Macaca fascicularis: one gene and its partners. The protein of the gene in region 1 interacts with the protein of each later gene in a pairwise test. Links are inferred from orthologs where the notes say so. Each region holds a gene or a part of one and is shown in the gene's direction. Other genes may lie near its edges. The genes, in order: SH2D4A, HMBOX1 and DBNL.

What was found.
Region 2: the proteins of SH2D4A (region 1) and HMBOX1 interact in binary tests that used the Homo sapiens proteins (3 or more experiments, as listed by UniProt). The two-hybrid records come from large-scale screens. The link is inferred for Macaca fascicularis from reciprocal best matches to the Homo sapiens genes SH2D4A and HMBOX1.
Region 3: the proteins of SH2D4A (region 1) and DBNL interact in binary tests that used the Homo sapiens proteins (3 or more experiments, as listed by UniProt). The two-hybrid records come from large-scale screens. The link is inferred for Macaca fascicularis from reciprocal best matches to the Homo sapiens genes SH2D4A and DBNL.

What each region holds. Positions count from the first base shown.
Region 1 is NC_088382.1:22,384,235-22,387,883, forward strand, and holds part of SH2D4A (SH2 domain-containing protein 4A), read left to right. Parts: intron 1-2,654; 5' UTR 2,655-2,858; coding exon 2,859-3,039; intron 3,040-3,649. UniProt on the Homo sapiens protein: Inhibits estrogen-induced cell proliferation by competing with PLCG for binding to ESR1, blocking the effect of estrogen on PLCG and repressing estrogen-induced proliferation. May play a role in T-cell development and function.
Region 2 is NC_088382.1:32,204,679-32,208,327, forward strand, and holds part of HMBOX1 (homeobox-containing protein 1), read left to right. Parts: intron 1-141; coding exon 142-295; intron 296-3,649. UniProt on the Homo sapiens protein: Binds directly to 5'-TTAGGG-3' repeats in telomeric DNA. Associates with the telomerase complex at sites of active telomere processing and positively regulates telomere elongation.
Region 3 is NC_088377.1:86,295,346-86,299,686, reverse strand, and holds the start of DBNL (drebrin-like protein), read left to right. Parts: upstream 1-1,513; 5' UTR 1,514-1,576; coding exon 1,577-1,659; intron 1,660-4,341. UniProt on the Homo sapiens protein: Adapter protein that binds F-actin and DNM1, and thereby plays a role in receptor-mediated endocytosis.

The sequences.
Region 1 (3,649 bases):
CTTCCATTCTGAAATTTCATACATGGCGCCACATCCTGCTGTTCTGATTCTGGGCACACAAATAAACTCACAAAAAGGCCTCTGTGCTGTGGATTACAGTGAAGCTGACTTAGAGCTGGACTGCCCGGCTCTGCCGCTTACCAGCTGCTGACCTGTGCTCTGTCTTCCTAATCTGTGAAATGAGCACAGTGATGGGCTGGACTCGAAGGGTTATTATGAAGATTAAGCGAGTTAACACAGGTAAAGTGCTTAATTAAGATGGTGCCTGGTACGAGAAGTGTTAGCTGTGTTATCAGGAATATGCAGGGCGGGGGAGACAGTAGGAATGTGACTTTGGCGCTTTAAGGGTTTTAGATTTTAGGCTCTACCCACGCCTTGAATAGGACTCACCGCATTGAAAATGGGGAACAGAGCGGAAGTCTCAACCCTAACTGAACTGTTCATTTTCTGCCATGTGTGATTTCTGCGAAAGCCAACCACAGAACATAAAGACATTTACTGGAATGTCAAGGAGTCATTCCGTGTCGTTTCTTACCACTTTATCTTGGAGCTTGTGGATTTCATTGGCTCCACCCCTTCAGAAGCTGCTAGAAACAGTCAAGAAATCATTACAAGACATCCATTTTTTTGACTGTTCAAGCCTTTAAGGGTATCTCCATGCAAAATACAAAGTTAGCAAGGGGACCTGGCAGGGGGCGTGACATTACTTTTAGTCCTTTAAAAGTTTTCTCTTAATATTTGGTTCCATTTGAATTCCGGTGGTTGAATGCTGCTGAGATGATAGGTTGCAGTCAGTAGGGATAGGTGTAGTTTCATCAAGGGTCTGGCTTTGCAATGAACAGTCAGCGAATCTGAGTGCTGCGTATGCACACCATTCTGTGGTAGCCTAGCTATTGAGCGTGCTCGTCTCAAAAGACAGATGTACATCAAGGAACAACTTTGCAAGGAAGAGGAGGAAGACAGGAAGCTGAAGGAGGCCCCCAGGTGGTGAGAGAAGCATTACAAATCTAGCTGTATCAATGACAAGGTAAACGAAGAGAAACCAACACTACGATGGCCATAATATAGCTAAGTGACTTGTCTAAAGTTTAAGAGTGTTTGAATATAGTATGGAGAAACAAGATATTTGAGAGCACATGGCAAGGTGGTAAGATTATTGAGGTGTTACTGTAAACAACAAATTATTGGTCAATTTCTTATTTTTTCTTTTCTTTTTTTTTTTTTTTTTTGAGATGGAGTCTGTCTCTGTCACCCAGGCTGGAATGCAGTGGCGCGATCTCGGCTCACTGCAATCTCCGCCTCCCGGGTTCAAGCGATCTCCTGTCTCACCCTCCCGAGTAGCTGGAATTACAGGTGCCCACTACCATGCCTGGCTAATTTCTGTATTTTTTGTTTTTTTAGTAGAGGTGGAGTTTTACCATATTGGTCAGACTGGTCTCGAACTCCTGACCTCGTGATCCACCCACCTTGGCCTCCTAAAGTGCTGGGATTACAGGTGTGAGCCACCATGCCTAGTCTATTGGTGAATTTCTTAGGACACATGTGATTCTGAAAAGTTGTAGTAAGTTTTTTTTCTTACATCGTACTACATCGAATCCAAAGTCTTGTTTTCCAGAATAGAAATATTTACATAGTTTCCTTCTGATTACAAAAGTATGATGGTTTATGAGACTTAGAAATTGTTTAAAAATAGAGAGAAAAAGTATGACAGTGTGGTAATATTTTTAAGCCAACCAAATAGAAATGTGGAAAGCAGAATGAAACCTCAGTGGGATTTCCAACCCCAGGAGAACCTCTAGGAGGCCACTGTGCACACTCGATTTATGGTTTCTCTTTCACGGAGCCATGCAGTAAACTCATATAAATCAAGGATCCTTTGTTATGAACCTAATGACCTCTTCATCCCGCTAGTTTATCTGGTCTGTCCATTTAGATTTTATTAAACTAGGTTATCTAGTAAAAGCACACCTAAAACTCGGTGACCTTCCAGAATGTAGACGGATGTTCTCTCTTGCACCTGCCCTGATTTTCATGGCTCTAGTAGGTTGCCTGGAAATTACATTATCCTTTTGTGAAGAGGAAAGTACATAATTATGTTTATTTAATGCTACTTTTTAGGGAAATTGCAGAAATTGCATGGTGGTCTAGTTTTTATTTCTTCCTTTTTCTTCCTTGAACATGGCTCTATTTTGGTTTGGTTTGGGGTGAGTTACTCTGTGACATCTCAAAAATGGTATTTTCTTTTGAAATAGGTACTTTGCAGAGAGCCTTTTAATTTCTTCCTGTGACCTTTCTTTTTGCCTTTCTTTTTTCAGCCACACAGTTGGTGGTTTGTTAGGCTCTGGGGTAATCATGTGTTTGCTTAGTTGGGAGCAGGACAAACCTCTGTGAACTTTTTTTGTTTCCCTGAGATTGACCTGTATAAAGTTAGGGTTTGTTTTCTTTTTTTTGACAAAGTATCTTTAGAAATTATAGGATAGAAGTTACACAAACTCTTAACAAAGTGTGCCTCAGGTTTTCTTTTTCTGTTTTCTCCCTGAAATGAAAAGTGATACTGTATTTCCTCCTGGCTTTTTTTTTTTTTTTTAACCCGTCCTAGCCAGCGTCCACACATTTTAACATGCCACCTGAATGCGGGCTCTTTCTCTCTGTAGGTTCAGTGAACAGCATTTTGGACCGGACATTTGGTGCCAGGTCTCAGGAGCCAGTTTGCTGAATTATTGCCCCAGTCAGCCAGGATTGTGAGCTGTTCGGGAAGTTTTGTGGACACGCCCAAGTGCCAGCACAGGTGGAGGGACACCTGGAGGCCAGTTTCAGGAACTTTTGCCACAGGTATAAAAGACTCCAGAACTGCAAAGATGCTGAAACAGATACTGTCGGAGATGTACATAGATCCCGATCTACTGGCAGAGCTCAGCGAAGAACAGAAACAGATCCTGTTCTTCAAGATGAGAGAGGAACAGATCCGACGATGGAAAGAAAGAGAAGCAGCTATGGAAAGAAAGGAGTCCTTGCCAGTGAAACCCAGACCAAAGAAAGGTAAACTTAGCCACGTTTCTTTTGTGAACGTGTTGGTAGAATAACTCCTGGCTGGCTTTGACAATTTCAAACTAATCACAAGCAAAGCAAGTGCAAGTTCCAGTTTGGTAGATGAATCCTAAATGTTACTGAGAATCCAGTAGTGCAGTATATCTGCTTGAAGTCTACACACACACAGCATTCACCATGGAGTTGCATAACTGTGAGGAAATCTCTTACTTGAAATGAGACTAACCTGAAGCTGTAGTAAAAAGTCACCTATGGAGTTTGATTTGAGGGGTATTAAGAAAGGTTTCTATCTCCTTTATTGTTACTGATTCCTTATATTCTACTACCAGAACACAAAGTTCTTATATCAATATATTTATAGCAATTGTGTTTACATTTCTTAGACCTCAGAGATTTTTCTTTGAGGTATCTTTTTAGGGAACACCCTCTCTTAAAATGTAAGGAACTGCTGTAAGGAAAATAATCATAATACTATCTTTTTTTAGTGTGAATGAGTTTTTCAGATGTAAACTTTTCCTCATTACCAAAGGAATCTCTGGTAGTTTGAGAGAGTTCTTTTGAGACCATGAGGGAGGAAATCTTTGTACATTAAGACTTAGAA
Region 2 (3,649 bases), about 9.8 Mb from region 1:
AAGAAATTTTTCAGAGAAAGATACATTGATTAAGTTGTCACTAAGCCAAAGACCATACTTCCCTAGTCCCATAGGAGGTAGATGTCGTATTGGTTTAAATTAACTGCAAGATATTTGCTAAAACTGTCTTATTTATTTCAGGCGCTACACTAAGTATGAGACCAGCCCCCATTCCAATAGAGGACCCTGAATGGAGACAAACGCCTCCCCCAGTCTCTGCCACATCTGGTACTTTCCGACTACGACGAGGGAGTCGATTTACTTGGAGAAAGGAGTGCCTGGCTGTTATGGAAAGGTATGTGTCTCCTTTTTCTATGAGAAATCTCGCAAACTTAGGGAAGACATCAACTCTGGATAGATTGGGACAGTTTTCACTTCAAACAAGTAATTGGGTATCTTGGTTCTATCTCTAAAAGTGCATTAGAATATTATAAATGCTGTATTATTGAAATAAGGTGATCTTAGCATTGAGAATTCATAAAGCTGGAGTTAGCATCTGTCAATTTATTTTACTTATAATAGTGTCCCCAGTAATTTAAGAAATGTTGGAATAAATATTTTTTGAATTCACATCTTTGTATTATATTTTGGAAAACTCTCTGAAGTCTTCTTTTCATCAAAAATATTGAATAATTGTATAGGAGACTACTGAGATTTAACTTTCTTTAATAAGGAGTATGGTCTAAATAAGCTTTGTCCCAAAGGTTAAAAATACTTATTTTTGACTTTGTTTTAGTAATTTATCCTCTCATTCTACAGTACCTGATCCATAGTAGGTACTCAGTGATTTTTTTTTTAACCTAAATTTGACCGTAGCTTCAATTTTCCCATCTGAAATGGTATAAATTAATTATGATTCTGAAATGTTTGGCATACTTAGCATAGATCCTATAGTAGAATTATCTTTTTTAGTCATCTACTTGTAAGTGATGTTTACAGAATTTTTTTTCAGTGGAATTTTGTTTATATGCAGTTAGGTAATAATGTTCCAGCTGTACATTTTTCTTATCTGACCTGACTAGTAGAATTGGTATATTGGACAGAGCACTGGACTCAGAGTCGGAAGACTTACACCCAACTAACTTTGTTTAGGTCACAAATTCTCAGCTGTAACTCCTGTCTAAAATGAAGTTTTTTGATAGCCAGTATGTCATCTAAGACTTTTGCCATCTCTCATCCTGCTACTTTCTGATTATTTCCCAGCTCATGAACTTCACTACCTGAAAGAGAGGGAGATTTAAAATGCCGAAATTCGGATGTTTTTGTTCATGTGATATGGTTGAAATTAATAGGTTTGCTTAAGGTGAAGGTGAGATCCAGTATCCAAAATGAGATTATAGGTTATCCATTGATGTTGTCATCTATTCCTTTCCTCGCTCTCTTTATTATAGATAAGAGCAGAAGCCATTCATTGAATAATGAATCCTTATATTCTTGAGTCATTAAAGTGAAAGAATGAGACATTATTGTCCTGGAGACCTGACATTTACAATCTGCTCTATTTTTCTCATCTAGGAATTTTTATTCTTTTTGAAAATTTCTTTAGAACTTGGCACACAGCAGGTGAGAATTAAAATAATGTCTAACCTAAATTATTTTCAATATTGTACATTTTCCTTTAGGTATTAGTTTCTACCTGGTGCTAAGTTCTAATTGTGCTAGTGACTTAGCCAGTTAGTTTTTTTCATGAAAATACCAGTATATATTTATCACAAAATGTCAGCATGAGAAAGAATTAAGTAAAAAATTGATGACAGTAATATCAATAGGTGATATTCCTAATGTACTTTCAGAGTTGAACCTCAGAGACTTAGGGATTCTTATTTTTCCTAGGTGACAAGAATTAGACACAGAATCACACTGAATTTTAATTAAAAAGATATTGAGCATTTACCCTGTTCTGTGACTCCTATTTAGTCTTAATTTATGCTTTTTAACTTTAATTAACAAATGGCTTTATCTAATGCAGGAGTTGGTTATCTTTGGCTTAATTTTATGTTACCTGGCACAACTAGAAAGAGGATGCAGTTTATGCCAATAGTTGCAAAAGTGCAGAAAACCTTTCAAAATACTTGATAGTACAGAAGGTCACAGTATGATTTTTGTTCTGTAAAAATGTAACTTTTTGTTTTCCAAAATGAAATGCAAAATTCCTGCCCTTAGTATGACACATAAAATTTTTTCTTGACTGAATGGACAAATGAATACATAATGCATAGACTGTAAAACCAGCAAAGAAAGCCTTACTCAGATATTAGTATAAGAGAAAAGTAAGGCTGGACATGGTGGTTCACACCTATAATTTCAGTTTTGGGAGGCCAAGGCGGAAGGATCAGTTGAGGCCAGGGGTTCGAGACCAGCCTGGGCAACATAGCAAAACCCCATCTCTACAAAAAATTCAAAGAATGTCTGAGCGTGGTGGCATACACCCACATTCCCAGCTACTCAGGAGGCTGATGTGAGAGGACTGCTTGGGCCCAGGAGTTTGAGGTTACAGTGAGCTATGATTGCACCACTGTACCCCAACCTGGGTGACACAGTAAGATCCTATCTCAAAAATTAAAATGAAATTTTAAAAAAGTAAAAAATTATTCCATTCTTCATATATCAAGATAAATTTCAAATGAGTCAAAGAAGTGAATCCATATAAATAATAGAAGAAAACATGAATCCATATAAATAATAGAAGAAAACATGAGTGGTCCCTTCATATCCTGGAAATGGGAAAAATATTTCCTAACTGTGACTCAAAATCTAAAAACAATAAAGGAAAAGATCGATAAATATGATTACGTAAATTAAAAGAAAAACTTTGGAGGGAGAAAAAGCTGAGCAAAGTAAAAGACAAATTGGGAAAAAAAATTGCAACTTTTATTATCTCTAATAAAGAGTTCTTAAAAGAGAAAAGACCAACAACTCTATCCTTATTGGGCTAAAGATAGGAGAAAAAAATGCAAATGGTCCTTGAACATATGAAAATATGCTCAATCTAATTGATAGCAAGAGAAATTCAAATTAAAACTACATTGAGATACTATTCTTATCACATTAACAAAAATCCAAAAGTTTGGCAACATTTTCTATTGATTGGGCTGTAGAGAAACAGATACTCTCATACATTACTTGTAGAAATGCAAAATGAAACAACTTAATGGAAGGGAATTCGGCAATATCAAGGAAAATTACCTATGAGTTTACCCTTTGACTTGACCTTCCTACTTCTAGAAAATTATCTTAGGACCAGTGGGTCACACCTGTAAATCCCAACCCTTTGGGAGGGCTGAGGTGGAAGAACCACTTGAGGCCAGGAGTTTGAGACCAGCCTAGGCAACATAGTGAGACCCCATCTCTACAAAAAATACAAAAAAGTGTGGTGGGGCATGCCTGTAGTCCCAGCCATTTGGGAGGCTGAGGCAGGACGATTGCTTGAGCCCAGGAGTTTGAGGCTGCAGTGAGCTGTGATCACACCACTGCACTCCAGTCTGGGTGACAGAGAAAGACCCTATCTCAAACAAACAAAAAAAAAAGAATCTTAAAGATATACTGGCAAAAAATATGAAAAGATAACAGCACTGTTTTTACTAATTTCAAAATACAGAAGATGACCTAAATGTCTATTTGTAGTGACTAGGTCAGGAAATTATAGCAC
Region 3 (4,341 bases), on another chromosome or scaffold:
ACAATGATGTGAACAGAAAGAAAAATGGACATAACAAATGAACTGTGTTTTTTTCTAAATTAGGTCCACAAGCCCTTATCTGCACCATCCAGATCCAAACACCTTAAGATTTTGGTAGTTCATTTGGTAGCAAAAACTGACCTTAATGGCCATGAGGATATTTAGAGTCTTCTTATATTCCACTTAGCTGATTATTCACACACATCACAGCAAAAGTATGAACACGTCTGATTACCAGTTCCTCTCCAGATCCTGTGATAAGGGCTTACAGAGTATACAGGACATATATGGTATAACTTTTCTGAAATCTTAGATTGAATTCCAAAGCACATCTGGACTTAGGGGACTGTAGATTTATATATATATAATACATATATATTTTATACATATACATATATATATATAATTTTCCTTTTTTTGAGATGGAGTCTTTCTCTGTCGCCCAGGCTAGAGTGCAGTGGCGCTATCTGGGTTCATTGCAAGCTCCGCCTCCCGGGGTTCACGCCATTCTCAGCCTCCCGAGTTGCTGGGACTACAGGCGCACGCCGTCACACCCGGCTAATTTTTTGTATTTTTAGTAGAGACGGGGTTTCACGGTGTTAGCCAGGATGGTCTCGATCTCCTGACCTCGCGATCCGCCCACCTTGGCCTCCCAAAGTGCTGGGATTACAGGCGTGAGCCACTGCGCCCGGCCGGATTTATATTTTAAGGAGGAAGGGGAGTTATTCTCCATGGGAGGGAAAGAAGCTGTGAGCTGCCTTGGGCTTTGGCATGTTTCCCTATCACGCAGATAAGAAGCTAGTTCAGTCAGTGTAGGCAGATTTGTGGATGGAAAAACTGGTGTTCACTGGAGGAGGGGAGCAGATTGAGGAATTACTGACACCTTCTAGGGGCGACCATCCAGATGTGCAGGTGAAGCACAAGGCAGGTTCTCTTCACGCCTCCACTATCCTGGCCTCCACCAAATTGCAGAGTGAAAAACTCAGGTGAGAGTGAGAAAGCACAAAGGCACTTTCAGTTAGGTTTGTAGCGATGTGATCGTCACTTAGCATTCATTTATCCGGGTATTCGTACATTTATGCATGTTTCATTCATAGATCAAACTGTTGAGGGTCCACAAACAGGCTGAAGACCTCGTCTGGAGGGAGACTGCAGTGAACCCAAGATCTCTCAAATAAGCGCATCGACATAACAAGATTTAGAAAAGAATGAGCACGGTGCTGTGAGAGCAGCTAGCGGGGGCTGGACTGGGTCCTCTCGGCCAGGCTTCCAAGTCAAGCTGCCGTTTGCGTGGGACCAGAAAACAGCTAGTCCGCGCCCCAGGATCCCTCCCTGAGGACAAACAGAAAGCCGAGTCCTCGCTTCTCCCGCTTGTCTTTCGGCGTTCGCGGGACCCGGATGCTAGACCAGGGGGCCTGACGACTCGCTAGGACCCGCGGGTGCAGCTGGCCCCTGTCATTTCCGCTTCCTGCCGTGGGGCGGGGTTTCCGGTTGTCGGAGGCTAGGCTTGTCTGCTGTCAAAGGGGCGGTCCGGCCCGGAAGCGGCAGCAGCGGCGCGGAGACTGCGGGGCGGGCCATGGCGGCGAACCTGAGCCGGAACGGGCCAGCGCTGCAGGAGGCCTACGTGCGGGTGGTCACCGAGAAGTCCCCGACCGACTGGTGGGCGGCGAGACGGGCCAGGGTCGGGCCAGGGGCTGCCTCAGGGGTGGGTCTGTCTGGGGCGAGCCGGGGACCCGGGAGGAGCGGGAGCGCGAGCAGGGAGCTGCACCCCGGCAGGTGGCCCGGGGCTTACCTGTCTGCCCCCTCCACACCGCAGCAGGAGTGCTGTCTCCCCCCGTGACCCCTTGCCCCGCCGATTGTGGAAAAGTTAAACCCGGCTTGCAGGGACCTAGTGAGTCCCCGCCCCTCCCCTTGCCGCTCGCCACCCACTATGGGCTCCGCGGGCTTCCATGTTGGATCCTCGGCCTGGTCGTGCTTGCTAGCTTCGCCAGGTTCTTCTTTCCAGCCCTGGGACTTCCCTGGAGAAGGGGGCCCTGCATAGCCCTCTCTGAGAAGGCGGAAGCCACGCCCTTTTTTTTGCAAACGCTGTGTTCAGAGATGGGCATTTGAGAACGGCCTGGCGGCCAGGCTGTGAATGTGAGCCCTGCCCTGGGGGCTTCAGACGAGGAGCTCGGGGATCTGGGTTCTTGGCTCTCTGTGAACATGGACTTCAGAACGTTTCTTTCTCCAAAAAGTGTACTCTTTCCTGTGCCTGAGACATGAGAAGATGTACGAAAGTAGGATGCTCGCTATCTATTTGGGAAAAGGTCCCATTTTCCCTCCCCCACCCAAGATATCCTCACTTTCCCATTTGCTTAAATTGTTTTCGCTGACCGATTTTGAGAAATTCCAATTCTGAGAAATATGCTGAGTATGGTGGGCTAAGGTGACCAACTTTGGGGAATAGAAACTGGGCCTTGGAGGCTGAGTCGTGGTGGGGCCACCCTGTGGTCAGCACTGAGGCCCTCCCGACTGTCTTCCCCTTGTATGGGGGCCATCTCCACTTGTACAAGTGCTTTCTCATCTCCTCCGCACTTCCTAGTGCCCAGCACAGAGCGGCTTTTATGCAGTGTACTGTTGTGACCCTGAGGATGTTATGGCTTTGCCTTTTCCTCCGCCCCGGGCCATTAGGGGAAGAGCTTTAGAATAGCAGTTGCTTAGGTCTGTGGGGTGTCTGTAGACTCTCCTGTCAGGTCTGGGTGCCCTGGATGGCACTTATGCCAAACAGCACATCTTCTGTTTGGGAGGCATCTAAAGAAGGATGTCTCGTCACTTCCTTGGTAGGGTTTTCTGCCTGCTTTATAATCCCTCAGATTTACCCACATGTCAGTCAGTGTTAGTTTTCTCAGGAGAGTTTCTAGATGTCAGCCCCCTGTTTTGCCTCTCTCCTATTCCTGTTCGTGTTTCTCTTAGGCCTCTCCTGTTACTTCAAACCCAGTCAAAAGCATCTCTGCAATGAGTGCCCCATTTTCATGTCCTCATGATACCACTTGGCTTTAGAACCCAGAAGAATCTTTGCCCCTCTCCAGCCCTGCCCAGTTAAAGATTTTGCTTCTTAACATGCTCTTGATCACTTTGTTTACCCTGGCAGACTTACCTAGGAGCTTCCTGGCACTCCTGATCTATCTCTCTTCCAGGTCTCTCTTCATCATCAGTCTTCTGAGGAACCATCACTGGTTTGGGATGATGCCTCCTAGCCCACCTGGCAGTTTGGGCTTCCCTCTTCAGACCTCCTATGTTCCTAGCCTTTCCTTGGGCTTCTTACCAGAGCTGTCTGCTACCACTCCTGGCCTGGTGCTTACCCACCCCATCTACTCTCTGTCCCTCATGAGGGTTGTGGAACCTCCTCTTTCCCTTCATGAAGTCAGAACCCACCTATCTCACTGGACTCATCTGCCCAGACAGCCATGCCATGCTCCCTCCCTACCTTCAGGCTCTTGTAGCACTACAGGTTGTGTTACTCAGCAGCATGACCCACTGGCCTCCACCCTCATAGTCACAACCATTAAGGTTACAGCAGATACTGTGTGGTAGATTCCTGCACACTGCGGAAAAATATCTGGACCATGTCACTTCCGTGTCTATAACTCTACAGTGGCTTCCTGTTGCATGTTGAATAAAGCCTAGACTCCTCGCTCTGCTGATGTCCTGCGTGACCCAGAACCTACCACCCCTTTTACTTACCACACTGTGGCCACACCTGTTTGTCACCACTCTGGCCGTCTTTCTCTTCCTCAAACTTACAAGTTGGTTCCTCTTCAGAGTCCTTGCTCTGCTGCTTCCTCTGCGTGGAGCACACTTCTTCCACGTTGTCCCCAGCCTTCACTTCTTTGCCCCAAGGTTGCCTTCTCAGAGAGGCCTTCCTTGATTCCTAGCTCCCTGTCTGTAGGCACTTTTTCCCATCTTTCTGTTTGACTTCCTTCAGACACATGCCAGACACAACATGTGCTGAAAATCCTTATGGGTTTTCTTGTCACCTTTATCTCTTACTGGAAGGGGTGGGGTCTCTCTGTCCTTGGTGCCTGAGGCACAGTTGTTATGTGTAGCAGATGCTTGGATGAAGGATGGACAGAGATTCATACAGAAAAAGTGGTAGAGATATCAGAGGAAGAAGAGGTGGTCTCTAGTTTGGTGGGGCATAAGAGGTTTCACACACACAGTGCTGGCATTGGGGAAGGCAGGCAGAGTGGGGAGCAGCCATGACATCAGCTCTCTGTCTTGAATCTGTCTCCTGCCCCTGCTTACTCCATATCTTGGTATTGATCTTACCTGGTTCATGTGTCACCTCTAGCACCTGCTTCA